3 linked regions of the Lytechinus pictus genome follow. The protein of the gene in region 2 interacts with the protein of the main gene of each other region in a biochemical or structural test. Links are inferred from orthologs where the notes say so. Each region holds a gene or a part of one and is shown on either strand. Other genes may lie near its edges. The genes, in order: THO complex subunit 4-like, nuclear RNA export factor 1-like and GTP-binding nuclear protein Ran-like.

Region 1 (7,197 bases), on a different chromosome or scaffold from region 2:
TGATACACTTGTACCTCTTAGAAACAACAAAAGGCATGTCACTTAAGCTAATCTCAAAACAGGATGTGGCAAACAAGATCAAAAAGAGAGAATAGCAGTATCTCCTTGAAGGAAAATAGCTTAAATTGGTTTTGAGAAAAGAGTATTCAATGCTAATCATACTGGACTCAACCCCCTGGATATTTGCTTTCATACACACAGGATATGCAAGCACTTTTACATTCTTGCCTTGAAAATCCAAACAGAATGAAAAAGATAAGACAACTATAAAACAAACAATAACATTTTTGCTTACAGGCAACAATTTTGCAAACAATCAGAGGGTGGACAAACTGCTATTCTTTAATCTGAGTAAAATACATTATGCATAAATGTGCCAAATGGTTACAACTTATTCATTATCCTGAACTTGCTATTCCTATGTTTACTCTGTTGGGATTTGTTAGGCAAGAATATAAAACCGCTTACAATGTACACAACCTGTGTGAAATAACACATCTTTCTCAGTCTTCCTCATAACATACAATGAGGGCAAAATATGTTTGCAAGGGCCTATAAAATCTAAATTTCGATGACTCAATTAGAGCGACTAGAACAAGAATAGTTTACGAGCATCCTTTGTTGAGCCTTTACATATGCCCAACTTGACAAATTGTGTTTTGATCCAAAAGACAATTGGTGGGACTGAATGAACACTTTAAATTATCTAAATGTTGCTTTTACATAGCTTTAATACATATTTTGTAGTATTACTATTATCTCTTTGTTCCACCAGTCTAAAAAAAAAAACTTTAAAAATTAAAAGGAAATATTTAATTTTTTTTCTTCAAATCTTGATGTCATAATTAGATCATATTCTAGCACAAACATAAATACAAAACATACAACTTTAGAAAGCAGGCCTTTACAAGATACCCTAACTACAGGAGAATGGACAAAATAGAAAAGATGCAAACTTACGGTCTTGATTGCATTGGGTTTGACTCTAGCTCAGTCGCTGAACCCACTAACTGAATATTCATCGGTCGACCTGTTGATGCAACGGGGCAAATAAGAAAAGTCAAAATATTGTTACCATATTCAATTGATAATCAAGGACAATTCTATTGATATTAATTTGACTTGGAGAGAAAAAATAAATGATGTGTCAATGACATTTTCAATCAAGTATGACCCCTAAAACTAATTTTTGCAGATCTGCACCACTAAAAGTGAACATGAAAGAAATTCATGGGACAAAAAGCTGTGCTGCATCATAGTCATGATTCATAAATAACATTGTGAAAATGGTTGACATGTCACTTTGATCATTCATTATTCAGTGGGCTGTCATCAAAGACACTTGCAAACTTTATGCAATTAATGATAGTATACCAACCTTGCATAACAATTATTCTATACCTGAAGAATTCAACTCTAATGAAATTTGAATGACAGCATCACAGAATTGTGATATCCCTTTTCATGTGCCCATAAAGATATGATGGGTCTCATGTGTGAGCCTTCATTGTACAACGCCTACTTAGCTTGTTGTACGCGAGCAAATGGGAGGCTGAATGTCAAACATTCGTACCGTTGCACAAAAGACGTACCATCCAAAATGTACCGTTGCACGGCTTTAGGAGGTGACGTCACAATACGATTCAATTCATTGCGCTCAGTAAAAATGCAGGTGCAATACGCGAATAGCCTGCTGGCTAAATGCGCAATGCTGCCCAGGCCCGAGGTGGTCGCTTGTGGGATTTTGCTTTTCGCTTTCCATATTTTTGCTCCCTTTTCATAGATTACTGCAGGAAAAACTCTTTGTTTTTTCATAAATTCGCTAAACTCCGAGGCGTTGTACAACACAAATAGCGAATATTCTTATTCGTGCAATGGTGCGAGATTTCGCATTCGGTGAAAGAAAGAAATGCTCTATTCAACTCGGCTAACGCCTCGTTGAATAGAGCATCTTTCACTCACCTCATGCGAAATCTCGCACCATCGCACTCATGCCTATTCGCTATTTGTATATTGTTCTTATGGAAACTTTGAAGCCAGACTTAATAAAACTAACATGATCTTTAACATCATGCCATCTCAAACTAAACCTCTCCCTCTCTCTCTAAAACCCAAACATGACCCTTCAAGGAATACAGCAGCTGAAGCGAAAAAAATGGAAGCATTATGATTACCCACCATCTAATGGCACTTGATGGTACTGCTTGATTGCTTTCATAGCGTCTGCTCTCCTTTCAAAGATAACGTCTGCTGTACCAAGACTTCTTCCCGTCCTGTCATAATGAACCGCAGCCTTCTTTAGACTACCAAAGTCTGCAAACAATTCCTGGAGAGAGAATACCATTATAATAATGAAGAATATCTATAGATGTTACAGGGACCTATTACTTTGAAGTTCTGACTGCAGGCTGGCACTGTTAGTATTTTCTGAAGCACAGTTATAATGTCACACAAAAGTGAATTTGAAAACTGCAATGATAGCATGGTGTACTTAATTTGCATTGACAGTGAAACAGTAAAATAATAGGTACATGAATGTTTCCACTGTGTGCATTTTGTCTTATAACTGGCTTGTTATGGTGTAAATTACTTTAAGTCAAAAGGGTGTGTGTTTGAGCATTTTGAATATTGGCACTGGTACTCAACAAATAAAGTGATAATGAGGAATGGATCCTTGACAGAGTAGCAAGTCATAATCAATACAATCAGTTAATACTGACAACCATTTAAATTCATCTTTTCTTCTGAGCACATGTGCAGTAAATCAAGTCTTTATGAAATTAAGAAAGGGTACAGAAACTGCTAAGTTACAGATGGAAATGAAAGGAAAATACTTGTCAAGAGCCCTACCACTAAACAACAAGGGACATAATGATGAAATGTAACTAACCTCAATATCATTATTTGAAACACCAAAGTCCAGATTTGAAACTAGCAGTTTTCCAGGTCCGTTCGCTGCAGTTGATAATCCTTGTCTTCTGATTGCACCTCCACCTTCACTGTACATATCATGCTGCCACTGATCGGGCATCTGTTTTGGCTAAATAAGGAAAACAAGCAAAAAATATGAAGACCCCATCAAAATCACATTTTATTACAATTTTCTTTAAAAAGAAAAAAAAATTACACGATATGTAGATCTAGACTTCATTGACAAAAAATTGATATAGATCAGCATTTTAATTTTGTTCTGATCATATTTTGATTCATGATTATCTGCAATGATTTTTAACATGAACACCATCTCTGGATGATCACTGGATGAAGCCCAAATATGGAATTCTGGAATACTGGCAGTGGAATCTATGAATCCATGCAACACAATCTCATTCTGGCACCAACAAATCAAATGCCAGCTGCACACTCTGTCCCTGGGTGAGAGTAAGGAAGATGTTCAATATTCTTCTTCTTCTTTCCCTCTTTCTTCATGTTCTTACATTATTTCATCTCTCTCACATTATTTTATTAATCTTTCTCACATAAGACTAGATCTAGTCTTCCTGTATTTATGTAAAACTTGACACATTTTATACTACATGTAGATCGATTTGCTGCAGATCATGCGGTGTAAAAATCTTCTTGCAGTTCATGTAGATCTCTTACTCTTAGTACATTACATTTGATTTGAACTTGCGCTTGCATATAATTATGCATCCCACCAAGTCTAGCCAGGAGGCTCTTAGATAGTAAAAATCATTCACTAACGTGTGCTTACTCGCCAAAGAGCCAGGGATTGCGTCCCATTCATGTGCGTGTACCGGGAAGAACTGATATTTTCGCCCCAGAGATTTCTACTTTGCTTCTGAAAGATCTAGCCCTAAATCATGTAATTGGGATACAACTTCATTTCCGACATTTCTACAATATTGATTTCATTTTTAAACAAGAATTCATAAAAAATGAGAAAAATATTATGAAAAGACAGGGAAAAATTGCCACGATGTTTACATCGCCATCTTGTTTTCTTTGTTTTTTGCCAAAGCGACAGGATGCATATCTCGAGATTTACATGATCTGGCCAGCCTAAAGAGACAGAATTTGGAGCTGAATACAGAGACAGAGTCTTGCGTTCAGCTGAAGCATCTATAAGTAGCCTGGAGGCTTCTGGAGAGTAAAAGTAGTTCTACTGACGTAAGCTTACTCTCCATGAAGCCTGGGACGGGATGGCATAGGCCCACACACACCGAGTATTTTGAAGACAACAATGTTGCTCCAAAATACTCGATTTCTTTAACTTACTTATCACAAACTTAAGTAAATGCAAAACAACTTCATTTCCCCCATTAGGAACTAATAAACTTCCTTTTACATGAAAAATAATATAAAAATTAAGAACAAGTGGAATGCCTCTGGCCGTCTCACCTGCATCACGCGATTCAATATAGCAGCAGTGCTGATTTTGAAAACTACTATAACTCGCACAAGATGTTCAGTGATACTTGGTTACTCTTATTTCCACGTTTTATGAACTAGACCAATACACTTATAGAGATATGATGGCAATTCAACAAATACCCCCAACGTGGCCAAAGTTCTTTGACCTTGATCATGTGACCTGAAACTCGCACAGGATGTTCAGTAATACTTGATTACTATTATGTCCAAGTTTCATGAATCAGATCCATAAACTTTCAAAGTTATGATGGTAATTCAACAGATACCCCCAATTCGGCCAAAGTTCATTGACCCTAAATGACCTTTGACCTTGGTCATGTGATGTGAAACTCATGCAGGATGTTCAGTGATACTTGATTAACCTTATGTATAAGTTTCATGAACTAGGTCCATATATTTTCTAAGTTATGATGACATTTCAAAAACTTAACCTTAGGTTAAGATTTTGATGTTGATTCCCCCAACATGGTCTAAGTTCATTGACCCTAAATGACCTTTGACCTTGGTCATGTGACATGAAACTCAGGCAGGATGTTCAGTAATACTTGATTAACCTTATGGCCAAGTTTCATGAACTAGGTCCATATACTTTCTAAGTTATGCTGTCATTTCAAAAACTTAACCTCAGGTTAAGATTTGGTGTTGACGCCGCCGCCGCCGTCGGAAAAGCGGCGCCTATAGTCTCACTCTGCTATGCAGGTGAGACAAAAATCATGTAAGAAGATGAGCTATACTCAGATATTATTGTCACCATCTTGCCGTCTTTGTTATTGTAGCCAAAGATACAGACACGGATAGAGGCATGAGCAGTGCCAACTTGGATAAAAAACAATACTTGCGTCGGCCGATAAATATCATGAAGTGATTCCATGATATCTATTAGCCGATGCAAGTATTTTACAATCCATGATATCTATTGGACGACGCAATTTTTTTAAATATCTAAGTTGGCACTGCTCATGCCTCTATACGCATCTGTATTTTGGCTACGATAACAAAAACGTCAAGATGGCGACATCGACAATAACATCTGTGAGTATAGTTCATCTTCTTACATGATTTTTCTTCTTTTCTTATATAATTTTTGGTGTAAAAAGAATTGTTTTTTTCCAAGGGGGGGGGGGGGGGGAATGAAGTTGTAGCCCATTTACATAAGTTTACTTAATGGTAAGTTATTAAAGAGAACAAGTATTTTGGAGCAACATTGTTGTCTCCAAAATACTTGGTGTGTGTGGGCATATACCATCCCATCCCAGGCTCCATGGAGAGTAAGCCTATGTCAGTAAAATGACTGTTATTCTCCAGGAGCCTCCAGGCAATCCAAGTACATGAAGTAAGTAGATCTGATCTAAGTAAGTAAATACCGCTAATTCCAGAATCCAGATGTCAGTAGCGGCGCACGGCCAATATTGGAGACTGTCTCCAATGTGGGAGATTATCTCCAATATCAGAGACTTTTGTAAAGAATTTGGGTATCCAATTTCAGAGACAGTCTCCAGTTTTGGAGTCCAATTTCCTTTGTTTACATTTGCTGCAAAAGGATTACCTTGGCGGCAAATAAAAATGTGATAAGCAGATTCCTCATTCACGAAAAATTACCCCTTTTCACCGACTACTTTAAAAATTCACCGTCTACTTTTATTTTGAAATTTGATAAGGAATTTTGTTGTCAATCACATACAAAACAAATGGGCTTCTGACTAGCCAGGCGGCTTCTAGAGAGTAAAAATCATTTACTAACGTAAGGTTACTCTCATACGAAGCCAGGGCTTCTATCTCATAGACCCACACAAAGGAAGCCAAAACCTGAAACTTTCACCCCCGAGATTTCTACTTTCCTTCTAAAAGATCTAGACCTAAATCATGTACATGGGATAAAACTTCATTTCCGACATTTCTACGCTCTCGTTGTTATTTTTGAAGAAGAATTCATCATTGTCTTATTGTACTTCCCCAACGTTACGGACGCGAGCGTCGCGTAACGTTGGGGAAGTACAATAAGAAACAAGATGGCGGCGTAAACATCGGGCAAGTCTCTTCCGTCTTTTCACAATAATTTTTCATTTTTTTGATAAATTCTTGTTTTAAAAATAACGAGAGCGTAGAAATGTCGGAAATGAAGTTTTATCCCATGTACATGATTTAGAGCTAGATCTTTTAGAAGGAAAGTAGAAATCTCGGGGGTGAAAGTTTCAGGTTTTGGCTTCCTTTGTGTGGGTCTATGTGATAGAAGGCCTGGCTTCGTATGAGAGTAACCTTACGTTAGTAAATGATTTTTACTCTCTAGAAGCCGCCTGGCTAAATTTACCTCCATCCACGTCACTAGAGCTAGAAACTTCATCATCATTCTCTTCATCTTCAAATCATCAATTTGAAAATCAAAAATCTAGATAAACTTCTGGGTTTTCTTTCATTTCGTGATCGAAGTATTCAGTGACAGTGTGGAGAAAACGTGACCTCGCAACAGGTTTTGCATGCAAATGGCGCTTGACGTGGGAGAGCCAATCACGTCTCTCGTACACTCTCATACACCTCATCAAATTCGAGTCAATTCAGAGACCGATGGGAGGCGTATTTTGGAGAGGCATTTTAGCGCTTTTTAATTGGCGATTTCCACCTAATGTATTACTTTCGTTATTTTTGAATGTCCAAATGATAATCCCCACATCATGACCTTTCCATTATAATTAGGGACAACGGTATATTCGGTACTTGCTCTATCAAAATCCCTACATACCATTGCGAGTGCGTCGAGCGCGTCCGTTGATCCTACGAAGCCCCAATAATGCATCCCTCTTGACT
Region 2 (7,610 bases):
CATTATTGATAAAATGTTAAGTTTTGGTGGCCCGAATCGGGCAACCAATAATTTTCAAAGTAGCGCAATTTTTCTCCCAATTTTGCACGCATTTATCAACTTTCTACAGCTCAAGTTGCAAGCCAGTTCGTCATGCGCCCTTTTTGTTGATCTACACACAAATACACACACACAAAGTTTGCATATTAGGCCTACAGCTACAGCATAGAGTAGCTATTATCCAGCCAGACGCGCCGGCCGGCTGGCATGAGCTTTGCATGAAGCCACTGCATACAGCTGTGCTCTAGATCTAGCTCAGCCTATTCAGACTCGGGGAGCTGCGATAAAAAATGTTGCTGCTGAGAAATCTTCCACAGAACTTTGAAAATCTAAGTCAAAGTCACATTTTACACCAATGAAATGCAATTCTACAGTCTATATTACGAAAATCTGGTGTACCCTGATTATTTGCAAGTATTAAGAAGAGGAATTATGACCTCTCTTTTGACTAAAAAAGACCGATTTCCACATGAATTAATACACATAAAAACACATAGGCAAGTACATCACAGTCCCACGTGTGCATTTGTATGTATGTTGATACTTGGTTTCTTTCGAAGCTGTGTATTTTCTAGCCAAAAACAAACAGACAGTTTCTTTCTTTCTTGTTTATAAATGACTTCTTAAACCACTCTTGAGAAAGTAAATACTTTGGGAAGGCATTTCATTGATATGAAATGTGATTTTTTTTCCAACATTTTGGCAAACATAGGGAAGGACTTTTCTCACACTTTTTTCCAGATATAATTTTTGCCGTTTTCTTATTTTTTTTCCTTTGATTTTTTTTGACAGTGGTTAAACCATTTATACCCCTTCCCAGTGAATATGCCTGATTAAAAAATATGTTTCTACTGAAAATAAAATAATACAAACTAAAGGATATACAAATAAAAATGTGCCATTCCCAAAAAGTGAAAATTATTTGCTTGGCTTTTAATTATATTCCAGTCAGAATAGACTGTTGCCACAGCTGTTAAAAATATATGTAATGGCTTCTTAATTTTCTCCTTTTCCCCATTTTTTTATTAACTTTGTTTTATTAATTTTTCTTTCATTTTCTTTTCTTTTTTCTCTCTAATTTTTTTCTTTTCTTTTTTTCCCTGTTCTTTGTTTTTTTCTTTCTATGATTTTCTTTCTTTTTATTTTATTTCACTAATTTCTTTTATTTTTGTTTTCTTTTTGTAATATACTTTTTGAAAATTATTTTCGTTTGTTTCCCCCTTTTATTCATTGTTTTAATTTTGCAGCATATTTTTCTGTGATTTTCTCCTTCTATAATATGCTGCAAAAGAGAAAACAGAAATAAACTGGATTTGGGGCATGCATAATCTAGGTTTTAGGATTCAAAGAGGAAGGAAGGAAAAACCATTGTTTTGTACATCTATCTGAATTTGCTATGCACTATTTATTTACTTTACCATTATCTCTATACAGAGATTTTTAAAAAAGTCCACACAACCTGCGAACAATACAATTCATTTATTCTCTTTCAATCATTTCATTTTTACAACGATAGAAACATTTATCAATTAGCAAAGTAAAATAACAGCAAACAAGGTTTACATACAAGATGTATAAAGTAAAAGTAACATAGTGGTATTGGCTGCAGAATTAATATTTCAGAAGTTTGTTTTATTCATTTTTAATGTTTTTCTTTATATTTTTCGGGCCACCAAACTTTAATATCGGGCCACCAAAAAAAATTATTTGATGGTTTTGGTGGCCCAAACGGGCCACCACCAAAAAAAGTTAATGTGGAGCCTTGATATAGAAATTTGGAATTTACCTTAATTTCAGACCTGTCTTACTTCCAAGAGCAAATGCTGGTTATTCTTTTTGCGTTATTTTTTTCTTCAACCCGTCGACTGTGTGCGCGGGCGATCGAATTATACGGCGATGGTTTTTGGCACTAGTATTCAATCCGTCAGCACTAGTATTCAACCTAGCGATTATAAGATGGCCCTGTCTCTCAATCTGCCCTTGTCCCATCTGCCTATGGACTAGACCATTTGAGATGAGACCAAGAAACGGAATTAGTCAAAGCCAGAGACTTGCATAGATCTATCTAGTTTAGCAATTTAAACCATTTTGAAATTCGCTTATCATCACTAGGTTGAATACTAGTGCAATTCAGTGCAAAAGTGCTAAATATTTGGGGGAATTTGTCAAAATCTTTGAATTATGCCGGGTTGAATACTACTAACTAGTGCCCTTACGGTACTAATTGAAAATATTGTGGAATTGTGATTACACATACACTGATACAGCACACACTGACACCGGTAATCGTATCTGAGATTTTCGGCACACTTACTCAGAAGAATATAAGGAACTTTATCAACAGAAAATGTTTGTGAAATAAAAAGAAATTCATGAATTCATGTTAAATTTTAACTTTAAAAAATAGTTAGGCGAGCAGAGGCCACCCCCCCCCCCCCCCCTTTCATAATCAATGGCAATGCCAATGGTCTCTCACATTCAAAAGCGGTAGGATGGGGGGGTCGGGTGTCCGGACACTTTATCTTTTTGACGCCTTCTTTTTTGTCTTTGTATTACACTAAAAATATAAATTCAATACTTGTAATCATCTTCTGTTTTGTTCTTTATAATATTTCCTAACGTTTTGTACTAAAAATTGATGAAACTTCGCTTGTATTTTTTTCCAAATGACTTTCTAAAATTGATCGTCCGGACACACAACCTGTCCGGACAAACAACAACTGGGTACCGGAACCGTACGGTACAAAAACTACAAACTTTTCAACATTCACACGCAGTATGATTGAGAAAACCGGCAAATATTTTCTTACACTTATCATGCAAAACAGAAAGAACATCTTTTTATATTTACCGTAGTAATTTCTACCACCTCCTTTAGTAGATTTTGTCACTGTGAAATCTCCATGACGCTGAAAACTCGACATGATGTTCCGTTTTCCGACTTGTATTTCGGCCTCGCCGCCAGACTCGTCATATGGCATACCGGTATGGGCGCGCGCACGTACAATTTACGTACGTACAGGGTCGACGTCTCGTACACCGTTGAAGTCGTCGATTTTAGTGGTCTTGCGCCACCTCACGTCTGACAAGTACAAGGCCTCGTCTCCAGCGTTGAGAAAGGGATTAAAACATATATATAACAAAGCATTTTTGGAAAATTTTAAAAAGCCATCCCATAGTCAAAACGGAAAACAGATTACACTTTCTATGGCACTACAATTCTTCGCAGCATTGGGAGGAGGAGGGGGCGGGGGGGCTTTTTTGGAGCTCCCTTTTCGGCCCAGCCTTTTGTTTTTTTACATAATTATAAGGTTCAATCTGGCAGGATCTTCTGTCCAGCTCCTGGTGGTATATAGTGGCATCTGAAAGGTTGACGGGGGAGGGACCAATTATCAACTTTACTTAGGCCCTACATGCATTACGCCACCAAAAATAATCCTCTTTTCTGAATTGTAATACAAAATTGTAAAACAAAAAAGGAATTACTATGCATACCGTATACAATGGCCCAACTACCATAGAATGCCATTCACCCTGGGCCTATATATCCCTGGAATATAAAAGTTCTCTTGATTGGTGACATAAACCCGGGACATAAACAAACATTTCCTTGAAAAGGGCACTTATAACAAATCTCCTTCCATAACAACTTTTTTGATATAGTGGAATTACTGTGATTGCCATATTGTACCATAATTAATTTTTGTATCTCTATGCTCTCTTCAAATATCCTATATCCGGGTCCTATATGCAGCAATCCATGCTGAAACAGCCAATGGAATTAAAGCCTATTGATAAACAGCACTTTTAAGTTTATTATTTATAATATTCAGACCTGGGCCCCGTCTAAACTAAAGAGGTGCAATTTATCTGATCAACCTTAACTGTATGGAAATCCATCAATGTCATATTTTTTCTACAAGAAATTTGCACAATAAAGCCTTTGTAAACAAAAAGAAGCATGCAGAACTTTTTCAAGAAAGCAATGAATGTATGAATATACAACATGTAGGAAATATTTTGAACAAAGATGCATTTTAGATGTTGACGTTGTTGCTGGCCTTCCATAGTTGCATTGATCAGATCAATATAGCAACTCTTTGTGAGACAGGAGGACCCTGATACTTTACCCTGAAATAACAGAAAAAATGGGGAATGTTTTCAGAAATTTATCACTTTCCAGGAGGAAGGAGTCACCCCATGCTAAGCTTCCATATCCTATCCAATCTCAAATCACTTATTTCTCTTTATCTATCTCCTTTACCTATTCTATCATGATCATGTACCTAATTTAATTGAAGTAAACACAACAAATTTGTATTTTATAAAATACATCATATTTTTCAAGCTGGCTTAAAATGGAAGTAATGAATCTCTCATGTATTTAATCAATAAATATGCAACAGGTCCTGTCTAATGGTAGGTATCTTAGGTCAAATATGTATGTACTTGTATCACTAACAGGCGCGTAGCCAGGGGGGCGGTGGGGGCGGTCGCCCCCCCCAAAACGTCCCCAAAAAGAAGGAAAAAAAGAGAGGAGAAAAGGAAAAGGGAAGGGAGGAAAGGGAAAAAAGGTAGCTTTGTGTTTTTTTTTTCTTTTTATTCTTTTTTTTTTCTCAAAAGAGAAACTCCTTCACTCTTGCTCTAAATTTATGGTTATGAATTTTGCTTCCGCGCTGCGCGCGGTTAAATGAAAATATTGAAGATCTCCAATTGTTTCCCCCACCCTTTCTCTAACCCTGTTTTTCTACCTCAGCTATATGTGTTTATTGCCAGTTAAAGTTCAAATGTATACATTAGGGCATGGAATTAGAGTAAGGTCAGGCCGAAGTATATGAAGTTATCTTTTTTTTAAATTGATCGCGCAACTTCTGGTCGGGTCGGCTCCGGGCGGGTAAAATCTTTATATCAATTTCTGCCGTCACCTCCATAAAGTCAACTTCTCCCGCTTTTCAGCTCATTACTAAACAACCATAATTTTTGGGGCAAACAGGTTCCTAATCCAAAAAGAGGAAGGTATAAAATTCGTATCGTATAAGGGTATTAAATAAAAAAGTACAATATTTTTTATCAAATTCTATTCAACTTCATGTCATTTCCCTGTACATTCATCTCCTGTCCTGTTTTTCGCCCTCAGTTTGAAATTTCGAATGACTCTTAAGTTTATTTATAATTCAAAATGAAGCGCTTCAGGATAAGTCAAAGAAATTAGGCATCCTTTTTATATAATTTCAATAAATCACAGAAGTTTCAACTTTTTGCGCACTATTTTCCTTTAAATGAAGTTCAATAATCTTAGAAAATTAATTGAATTAGAGCCGATGGGGTATTGGAGGTATCTGCATTATTTTGATGAAACATCCGCCCTTTGAAATTTCAGAGTTTCGTTGCTCTGCGCGGGGAGGAATTTCTTCCTCCATGCATATACACTTCTTCTCCTCTGTTTTGCGAGTTAAAGATATGCACTGTCGCTAAATTGTTTGTAATCAAATCTGATCTTTCCAAGGGAAGTATTCAATATATGTTTGAGAATATCCTTTTCTCGGGACCCTTTTCATGGCAAAAAATTGATAAAACGCTTTAGCTGCCGCACTTCGCGCGGGGTTATTATCATTTTAATTTCCTCCATTGTATTCCTTTTTTGTGCGTTCACAATCTTTTTTTAAAACAAGGTTCATGAAAACCAGGTTCAAAATCACAATATAGTCAACTGAATTCGAGCTGATATAGATACTAGAGACAAGAGAGACAACTCCTTTTCATTTTAATTTATGAAACACCAAAAGCTTCGCGCGGGAGGGGGAAACTCCCCCTCCCTGCACCCACCCCCTAGGGAACGCGCTCTGTAAGCGTTGGCACGCTTCGCGTGCATTTACCACCCCCTCCAAAATGAAATCCTGGCTACGCGGTTGATCACTAAGTAATCTCTTTCATATCTTCCTCTTCCAGGCTCTCATCCATGTCTTTCCCCCTCCCTTTCATTTGTGTTCCACTTTGTCTCCTCCTATGCTATCCTGTTAAACCATGTGGTTTATCAAATTGCCTGTTATCACTATACTGTACCTGTTTTAGGTTACTGAAGACTTGTATTGTATGACCTTTTCTATTGCTAGATCAAGTCCCCGTCTTACAAAGAGTTACGATTGATCCAATCAATCGTAACTCTATGGAGATCCATCAGTGTCATAATTTTTTTACAGGAAATTTGCAAACTGTCCTTTGTAAACAAAGGAGAACACACCAAATTGTCAAGAAATCAATGAATTTATGGATGCATTCATATCTAGAATTTTTTTTTGAATAATCGTGCATTTTATATGTTGACTTTGCTGGCTTTCCATATTTACGATTGATCGGATCAATCGCAACTCTTTGTAAGACGGGCCCCAGGATTAGTTTCTCCATTATCACTGACAGGGAACGTGGGTACATGTCTCTATTTCATCATAAATATAGATGACTTATATAAATAATGTAGCTAATTGAAATTATATACAAGTGGAAAATAATTTTGCTAAAAATCCTGTCATAAAAATATAAAATAACAAAAATTTAGTTAACTCACCTTTTTGCAAATAACATTACTTCTTAAAGGAGAATGAAACTCTTGGAGCAAGTTAGCTTTTGTGAAAGCAGAAAAATCAAAGAATAAGATCAACAAAAGTTTGAGTAAAATAGGACTAGCAATAGAAGAGTTGTGAGCATTTGAATGTCGAGATCACTAATGCTATGGAGATCCTCCTATTGGCAATGCGACCAAGATCTATGATGTCACAGATGAACAACTCTCCCCTTTTGGACACTGAAAATATACCCCAAAACATCTCTTTTTGCTCATTCTAATCATATGACAAACGATTCATCAATGATATAATGTTGTGAAACCTCTGTACTTGTCCTCTCATAAAAAGAACACCTCACCTTGTGATAGACTCTATAAAAGTGAGAATATAAGTGAAATAAGTACTAAAGTAATGAGGGAGTTGTACGTGTGACATCACAGATCTTGGTCGCATTGCCAATTGGAGGATCTACATGGCATTAGTGATCTCAATATTCAAATGCTCATAACTTTCTTATTATTCATTCAATCTTCCTCAAACTTTCAACAATATGTTTCTTTGATTTTTCTCTTTGATATGGATTCAGCTGGTTTCAAGGGTTTCATTCTCCTCTAATGAATGTGCTTTGCTTAAATTAATTTGACAGGATATTTTTTTCACTCATTGACAAATTTTTATCAGTTGTGTGAAAATGAGATTTATCCATTAAAATGACTCATGAATGTACAAAAGCCAAAAGAATGAGGTCAAGGTTACACAATGTGAATAAAGCAAAACATTGTTATTTACTCAAGGTTCCACACTAACTTTTCTCGGTGGCCCGATCAGTCAACCAAAATCATCAATTTCATATTTTTGGTGACTCGTAAAGCAAATTAAGTGGCCCTAAAAACAATAGAAAATATTACAATTTATCAAAACTTTGGTAGCCCAACCAGGCCACCAAGTATTGACTTTTACAGAATTTTGGTGGCCCAACTCTCATTTTTGGTTGCCCTAGGCAACAGC
Region 3 (7,228 bases), on a different chromosome or scaffold from region 2:
ACCCTTTCGTGCAATCGGCCCCTGCTTTACACGGAGCTGTGATTCACATGAAACTGGCTAAGGTTTTTTAATCATTGTCAAGCTTGGGAAAAGTGTGGAGAAGAAATGTAAACCCCGTATAAAAACGTAGTGAAAGAATGCTGGACTGAGAGGTCTGAAATAAACTTTTGTTTACATTCAGTTATGTCCTCATATCCAGCTGGCACAAAAAGGTAAAGGTTGTGCTTACCTAGGATTAAAATGTTGATTTGGGTGGCAAGGTTGTTACAGAATGTTATGTATCTGGTTTATTTCAATTGGCTAAACATGATGAGAAAATGTTCAGCACAGTCAGTTTGTTTTCGCCTATATGTTTTCCTTGACCTGTTGACACAGCGTGAAAATAAGCATTTCTGCCCAAACCGATTTCTGCGAGCTTTACAGAAAACTCAGTGCTCACTCAAGTGTAACATTCTGTCAAAATTCTTAGTTTCATTGGATAGATGAGACCCAAACCCAATGTGAAAGAATTATCCACATGGGCCCGTACTCTGAAGTCAGGTCAACCGCGTAGCCAGGATTGAATTTTTGAGGGGGCGGTAAGTGCACGCGAAGTGTACCAACCAAAGACCTTATTATATATTACGGTGCCAACACTTACAGAGCTCCCGATAGGCGTTAATGTTGAAAACTGAAGGCGTCTCTTGCGTCTCTAGTACCCTATCAACTCGAATTCAATTGACCTGCTGTGATTAAAAACAAATTGTTTTCGAAAGAGAAATTATGAGCGCCCAAAAATTGGAAAAGATTGGAGAATTTGAAATAATTCCTCTTACCGCGCGAAGCGCGGAAGCTTAAAACGTTTTATAAAAATAGAGAACAGAAATGTTACAATTATTATTTTTTTATTTATTTATTTATTCATATTTCACCAGGGTAGCTCATTCAACAAAAGTTGATCTTCCATGAGGCCCTGGATAACAAACAATACAATTATATACAATTAAATACAATCAATGGTGATAATACATATACATAATTATGCCTATCTTGGTCACATCAGATTTGATTGTGAAAACTTTATCCACATCAAATTTCGTTAACTCAAGTCAAAACAGAAAACGGGTATATGCAGGAAGAAAATAGGCCCTATATTCCTTCCGCGAATGGCGTTGAAGCTCTGAATTATAGAAATTTCTCTGAAACTTTAACCTGTTCTAATTTTGATATTTCTTAGATTATATACAACTCGATTAAGAAGAAAAACGAGCTCAAAATTTGAAAGGAATGATGCAAGTTAGAAAAGGGACTTTTCCTTTCCCATGCTCGCGAATCACGGAAACCTCTGTGATTTATTTTGGAAGAAAAAACATTGTGTAATTTCGCTCATATTAAGCGCTTCCTTTTGTTTGATCAAGAAACTTCAGTGATATTCAAAATTTCAAATCAATGGCGCAAAACAAGACAGGAAATGGATGTACAGCGATACAGAATAAAGTGTAATATCGTACATAATTATTTTTGCATATACCACGGCATGAATTTAACGTCTCCCCTTTGAGCAGATACTTTGCAAAAAATTACTTCTTGAAAAGCGTAGAAATAGCATTTGGGGATTCGGGTAGTGACGGAAAAAGTCTCCCCGCTCCGAACAGATGAGCCGAAATTTTGTGTCAATGCAAAACAATTAAAAATACTTTGCATACTCTTTACACTCGCCCATGTACTTTATAATTTCTGGCAAGAATATACAATTCCCCCAGCCGGGAAGGGGAAAACGGAGTAGAAAAAAAGGTGTGGGAAACAAAAGGGAATAGCAATTTTGATATTTTTCCTGCGCGGAGCGCGGAAGAAAGTTTTTTTGTAAAGAGAAAAGAACGTCTCGTTCAGGTTTTTATTCTCTTGACAAAAAAAGAGGAAAAAAACAACGAAGCTTTACTTTTCTTCCCTTTTCTCCTTTCGCTTTTTCTTTTTTTTTCCTTTTCCCCTTCTTTTTTTTTCTTTTTGGGAGCATTTTTTTTGGGGGGGCGACCGCCCCCCCCCCCTGGCTACGCGCCTGAGTCAGGTTTAACTTAGACCATGGTCTAACTCTGTGCTAAAATTATGGGAAGCCAATAGTGTCCATAAGGTTGACAATGTTTGGCTTATTTTCTCTTTTTCTTTTGGACAAATGCTTGATTTTTTTGCACTGTCAGTTTCCATTACAGCTTTACAGTATATAACTTGGCTCTTAAGCAAATTTGATTCTTTAAATTATTTTTTTCTTGATTAAAAATAGAGCTTGAAAAATGTAAATTTTGTTGCCATATTACTTTCCACCAATAGAGGGCGTACACAAAAATATGCCCAAAATTCAAGTTTTTGAGCGCTCTGGTCAATACAAAAATTATTCTAAGTTACTAATGAAAATTAAATTGCAACTGTATGGAAATTAATAATTTTGGTCACAAAAGTGATATTTTAATGATTTTTTTAAAGTGTGTGCTCAATACAGCATTGGCATACCATAGTCCTACCTGTAATTTCCCCACAGCGGCACAGGCAGGATGGTAGCAGTGGAGTCGGCCTACTTTTGCATTTAAAAAAACGCAAAATTTCTAACGCGGTCGCCTTTCCTACAAGAATTTGGCCGTAACAAAATAATGAACAAATCCTTACTTTTAGCTTGTTGCAAAGGTTTTATCCGCTATCATAAGAATATGGTTATAATAAATCCAAGGCATGAATTAAATCATTCAAATGACTTTTAAATATAGTAACAACTTTGATATAAACCAATAAAAACGTTCCTTAAATACACTGGCGGGGGGTCACATGGCATCATTGTGGAAGCGGGGGATAATTTGTAAAAATAAATATAGGTGTATAAACATATTCTTGAAGTTTATTTTACGACAAGTTACTGATGACACTGATCAATTTTTTTCCGTTACAATGAAACACTCTAGCCTTGTAACGACAGCGGTATTTCCCACATATCCTAACAATTTTTTTTTTTTTTTTTTAGCATAATTCCAATCACATACATTAATTGACGCAACAGTCTAATAATTTAAAATGTCAAAGTTGAATTTTGCTCCAAATGTTGAATGTTGCATCATCTCTCAATACAATATCAACTATTATTCAAAAATTTCCTTTAATATTTTCCTTTTCAGTTTCACCGTTTGCATCATAGTTCCATTTCCGCATTTTCAGAAGTTTATATTAGGCCTATACTAGGATTCTATAATCCTATAGGATTTCATAAGGAACCGCTTTTCCCGATAATCATGATCCCATTTTTTATGCTCAACTCACCTCTAACTAGTGAGCAAATGAGTTTTCATTGCACGAATCTCGACTGTTTAATCCTTATATTTTTTATATAAATACTCATTTCTCCGTTTCCCTTTTCTTCTAAAGTCTTAGTTATTGATTATAATTACCCTGGCTTACTATCCTCTATAATGCACAATGTTTTAGACGACTGAAGCAACTTTCTCACAATGCGAGTTCGAAACGCGAGTGAAATTTTTACATATAGTGACATGCAAGATTTTTTGAAATTATTTTCCAAGTCTTCTCGGCCTCACCTTATTTTATTCACTCGTCTTCGTCCTTTAATTTTTCCTTTTTTTATATCCTCTCCTCCCCCCCTCATTTCCTTTTTTTCGCCGCCAATAGGGTGGGGGCCACGACCCATTGCCCCCCCCCCCCCCCCCCCCCCCCCCCGTATCGGCCAGTACTAGTGTCAGGGATCAAGATTTGGATGGTTTCAAGGAAATTTTCCATTTCAGCAGACGGGTCAAGATGATACGCATGCGTCGAAACCTTCATGAACGAGCGTGCGCAGATTTCTTCATATTCGTAGTTTAATTTCAGGAATTTTGAATAATTAGTTTGTCTTTGTGTTTCTTACTTATATATAACTATCCCAAAATTGTACCTATTTTAGACTCGATATTTCTGACTTATTAGACCAATGGCAATGACTTGATACCAGCTGTTTAAAAAATAGGTTTTTTTTTAGACGGTTTCCTCAACGCATTGTACAATGAAATGAACTCCGGGAATGAACTTGAATAATATATATTAGAATTAAAAAGACAAGATGATGGAATGTAATCATAATGGCCTTCATTATTTTGAGGGCATGGGAATTCAAGCAAAGTTCAGAAGGTATAAAATTACTACATACATCCATAAGGTTAAATGAAGTTCAGTCCTGGGCGCAGGATCTTTTGCTCATTCTACTTTCGTGATATATAAAGCCCGGATATAAAGTCCCGTATAAAGTCCCAATTTTTTTCCTAAAGTTTACTCTTGGTTTCATGCAGCTCGGAGTACTTCAAATTTAATTTTGCGACTTGAATTAGTTCTACTTTCACATTGCTATCTTCGCTCGATAGCAATTCGCAGTATATAGTACGCGTGCAATTGAAATTCTCACGTGTGATGAATGAACTGAATTTGCGCGCGACAATTGCCAGCTAAAGAAAGGAAAATAGGTAAGATAATTTCTATAGTCAAGTTTCTCATAGCATTAAGGAAAATTTATGATTCATAATTCATGCGTCTTCATCATAAGTCTCATTCGACTAATATTTTATTTGAATTTGATGAGGTATCATACTGATTTTTATCATCGAAAATCGTCCGTGCAATCCAGTTATGACTGGTTCGTTCACAACCGGCATGACCGGCTCCATATAGCCATAGGCATGCATTTGTACGTACGTTGGCCATTCGTCAGTAGGCCTGCGCCTATTGAGTATTGTGTGGGCATTGCGAATTGAGCTGGATGTGGCATTTTTGCACATGCTTGAATGCGAGATATATTTTAGTGATAGATCTAGTCTAGTTAATCGTCTTGGAAACGGCTGTGACTGACTGAGATTGCGTCAGATCTCAACCTACTAAGCCTAGGCTAGAGTAGATGTTCTCAACTTTCTGCCTAGTGTCTAACTCTAAATTTAGTAAAATTTAGACTTCATATCATACTCGTAGGTTCTACTTCTTCTACTAGTACTAGTTCAACTTCTACTTCTAGTTCTAGTGACATTCTTAAGCATTTAAAATGAAAAGGGCAAATTTTCATGTTTATACACCTTTCCATTTTCTCTCAAGGTCTGGTTGAATAAAGACATGCAGTAACACATGCCATGGGCATGATGGGTCATGGATGCATTTTCGTTAATAAAAATTAAAATGTGTGTGAACATCTTGTTTTACAATTTTACTTCAAAAGGATAAATTATTCTGATATCAAGAATGACAGAATCAGCGTTTGAAGCACTCCTAGTACCAATGAGGTCCAACATTACATGTATGGACCTCATAGGCAACATCAGTAGTATTTTTGGTTAGAAATCTCTGAGAACAGGATATATCACAAGTACAAGCTATATTCCTTTCTCTTATTTAAATTATAATTTTATAGTGTAAATGCATCGTTAGCAACAACAAAAAAATGAAAGAAATGAAGGGGAACTTACATTTTCACGGCTTTTTCCTGATTTTCTGGGCAGCTGCTCTTCTCTTCTGACTCGCGATCGAAGCTGATATGAAGATCACGTGATTCGCGTTCTCGTCAGCTGATCGGTTGGTTATTCTTTGTCAGACGTTAATAATATATATTTTATAATGCTAGCATTCATCGCTAATTTAGGTGAAAGAGATTGAAGTTAAACAGCGCCAGGTCGGAATCATAATTATTTTGGAAGATGTATTTATACACTCGATCTCATACCTGACGTAGACGGCGGTATTCAACAAATGCACAATCTTCAATATAAAAAATAAAACAGAAAGAACGCCTTGAACACAGGCCAAAATGCCTAACGATTTCTCCGCGGCATTAACAACTATCATAAAGGGCGCTCCATTTATCAATAAAGATGGATGCTAAGCTGTCTATGGCGACAAAATTTGCCGCAAATATTTACGAAGAATTGTGAGAAATGGTCTGAAAATGCAACAAAAGAACCGGTGAGTACCGATTAAACATTATCAATTTATTTAATAGAACATATTTAATGACTACAATGTAACAATTTCTAGATAATATTGCTTAGTTCTAAGCTAGGGCGGCCCAAATGCGCGTGAGTGGAGTCCCAGTTTATTAGCACGGGTAAGTATTGGGGTGTCGCCTAGAGTGGTTTGAAGCAATATAAAAAAAATGATAACTTTTCTTTAAATGAATGATAATGATATGTATGATTTACTCTGGATAATTAATTAGAATAAAGCTCAAGCTGCGGATTAATTTTTTTTTTAGATTCTCTTTGTGCCATTGACTTGTGACGTTGTGTTCAAATGTAATTTTCAAAAAGTAAAAAATTTGTTTTCTTATGTCATGTATGTATTCTATTGTTTTAAAATTTCTTATATTATGTATTAGGCCTAATCATAAGAATTAGGACCGAGTCAAAACATTTAAAAGCTGTTCAAAAGACCGTCAAACATTTACCTATTTTGACAACTGTTTAATCTGTATCGATCTAACGTTAGTAGGGCCCAGGGGGGGAAAAAACCTTCCCAAAAAGATGCTGAAATTTCACATTTTGCATTCATGAAATGGCCACCTACTTTAAAGATTTCTTTAAAATCGTTTTGATTTAGTTGAAAACTATCAAGTAAATGAAGAATATTCAGCCTCTCTCGACGATCGACTTTGGAAAATTGTTTTATGATGTTACACTTAGTCAATATTGTAGTCCCACATGCAGACTTCAGTGGTGTTGCAACATTAAATGAAAATGATCGTTTGATTGGTTTGTTTTTTATTGTTTTACACTCTGTTGAAAGTCTAAATGAAAGTCTAAATGTTGGACTAGAATATTTACAGAGTGTAACATTATAAAACGATCTTTCAGAGTCAAGAAAGAGGTGAATATTCATTTCAAGTAAATTTGGAAAATATATAGCCTTTTCCTGAATGTACATATAAAGATGTAAAATGTGACATTTCAGCAACTTTTTGGGAAGGTTTTTTTCCCCCTGGGCCCTAATCTTAGATCTATACAGGTTAAATGGTTGTCAAAATAGGTTAACGTTAATGCTGTTAACAGTCGTTTGAAGTTTGAACAGTGTTTAAACGTTTTGACTCTGCCCTAATTCCTAAAGTTTATAATATTTTTCATTATATTCACAGATCCTACAGATTTTATCACAACGCAAGCAACCAGTGTCAGACAGAAAAATGACTCAACAGGCCACAAATATAGATCAATTAAAGACACAAGATCCAATTGCACAATTCAAGGTA

The links.
Region 1: the proteins of nuclear RNA export factor 1-like (region 2) and THO complex subunit 4-like form a complex in vitro, tested with the Homo sapiens proteins (2 studies listed by BioGRID and IntAct). The link is inferred for Lytechinus pictus from reciprocal best matches to the Homo sapiens genes NXF1 and ALYREF.
Region 3: the proteins of nuclear RNA export factor 1-like (region 2) and GTP-binding nuclear protein Ran-like form a complex in vitro, tested with the Homo sapiens proteins (2 studies listed by BioGRID). The link is inferred for Lytechinus pictus from reciprocal best matches to the Homo sapiens genes NXF1 and RAN.

What each region holds. Positions count from the first base shown.
Region 1 is NC_087254.1:29,241,666-29,248,862, forward strand, and holds the start of THO complex subunit 4-like, read right to left. Parts: upstream 3,074-7,197; 5' UTR 3,032-3,073; coding exon 2,891-3,031; intron 2,327-2,890; coding exon 2,179-2,326; intron 1,031-2,178; coding exon 961-1,030; intron 1-960. UniProt on the Homo sapiens protein: Functions as an mRNA export adapter; component of the transcription/export (TREX) complex which is thought to couple mRNA transcription, processing and nuclear export, and specifically associates with spliced mRNA and not with unspliced pre-mRNA.
Region 2 is NC_087251.1:3,281,595-3,289,204, forward strand, and holds the start of nuclear RNA export factor 1-like, read right to left. Parts: upstream 3,036-7,610; 5' UTR 3,021-3,035; coding exon 2,891-3,020; intron 1-2,890.
Region 3 is NC_087246.1:34,163,381-34,170,608, reverse strand, and holds the start of GTP-binding nuclear protein Ran-like, read left to right. Parts: upstream 1-4,155; 5' UTR 4,156-4,469; intron 4,470-4,691; exon of another isoform or gene 4,692-4,964; intron 4,965-7,114; 5' UTR 7,115-7,162; coding exon 7,163-7,225; intron 7,226-7,228. UniProt on the Homo sapiens protein: GTPase involved in nucleocytoplasmic transport, participating both to the import and the export from the nucleus of proteins and RNAs. Switches between a cytoplasmic GDP- and a nuclear GTP-bound state by nucleotide exchange and GTP hydrolysis.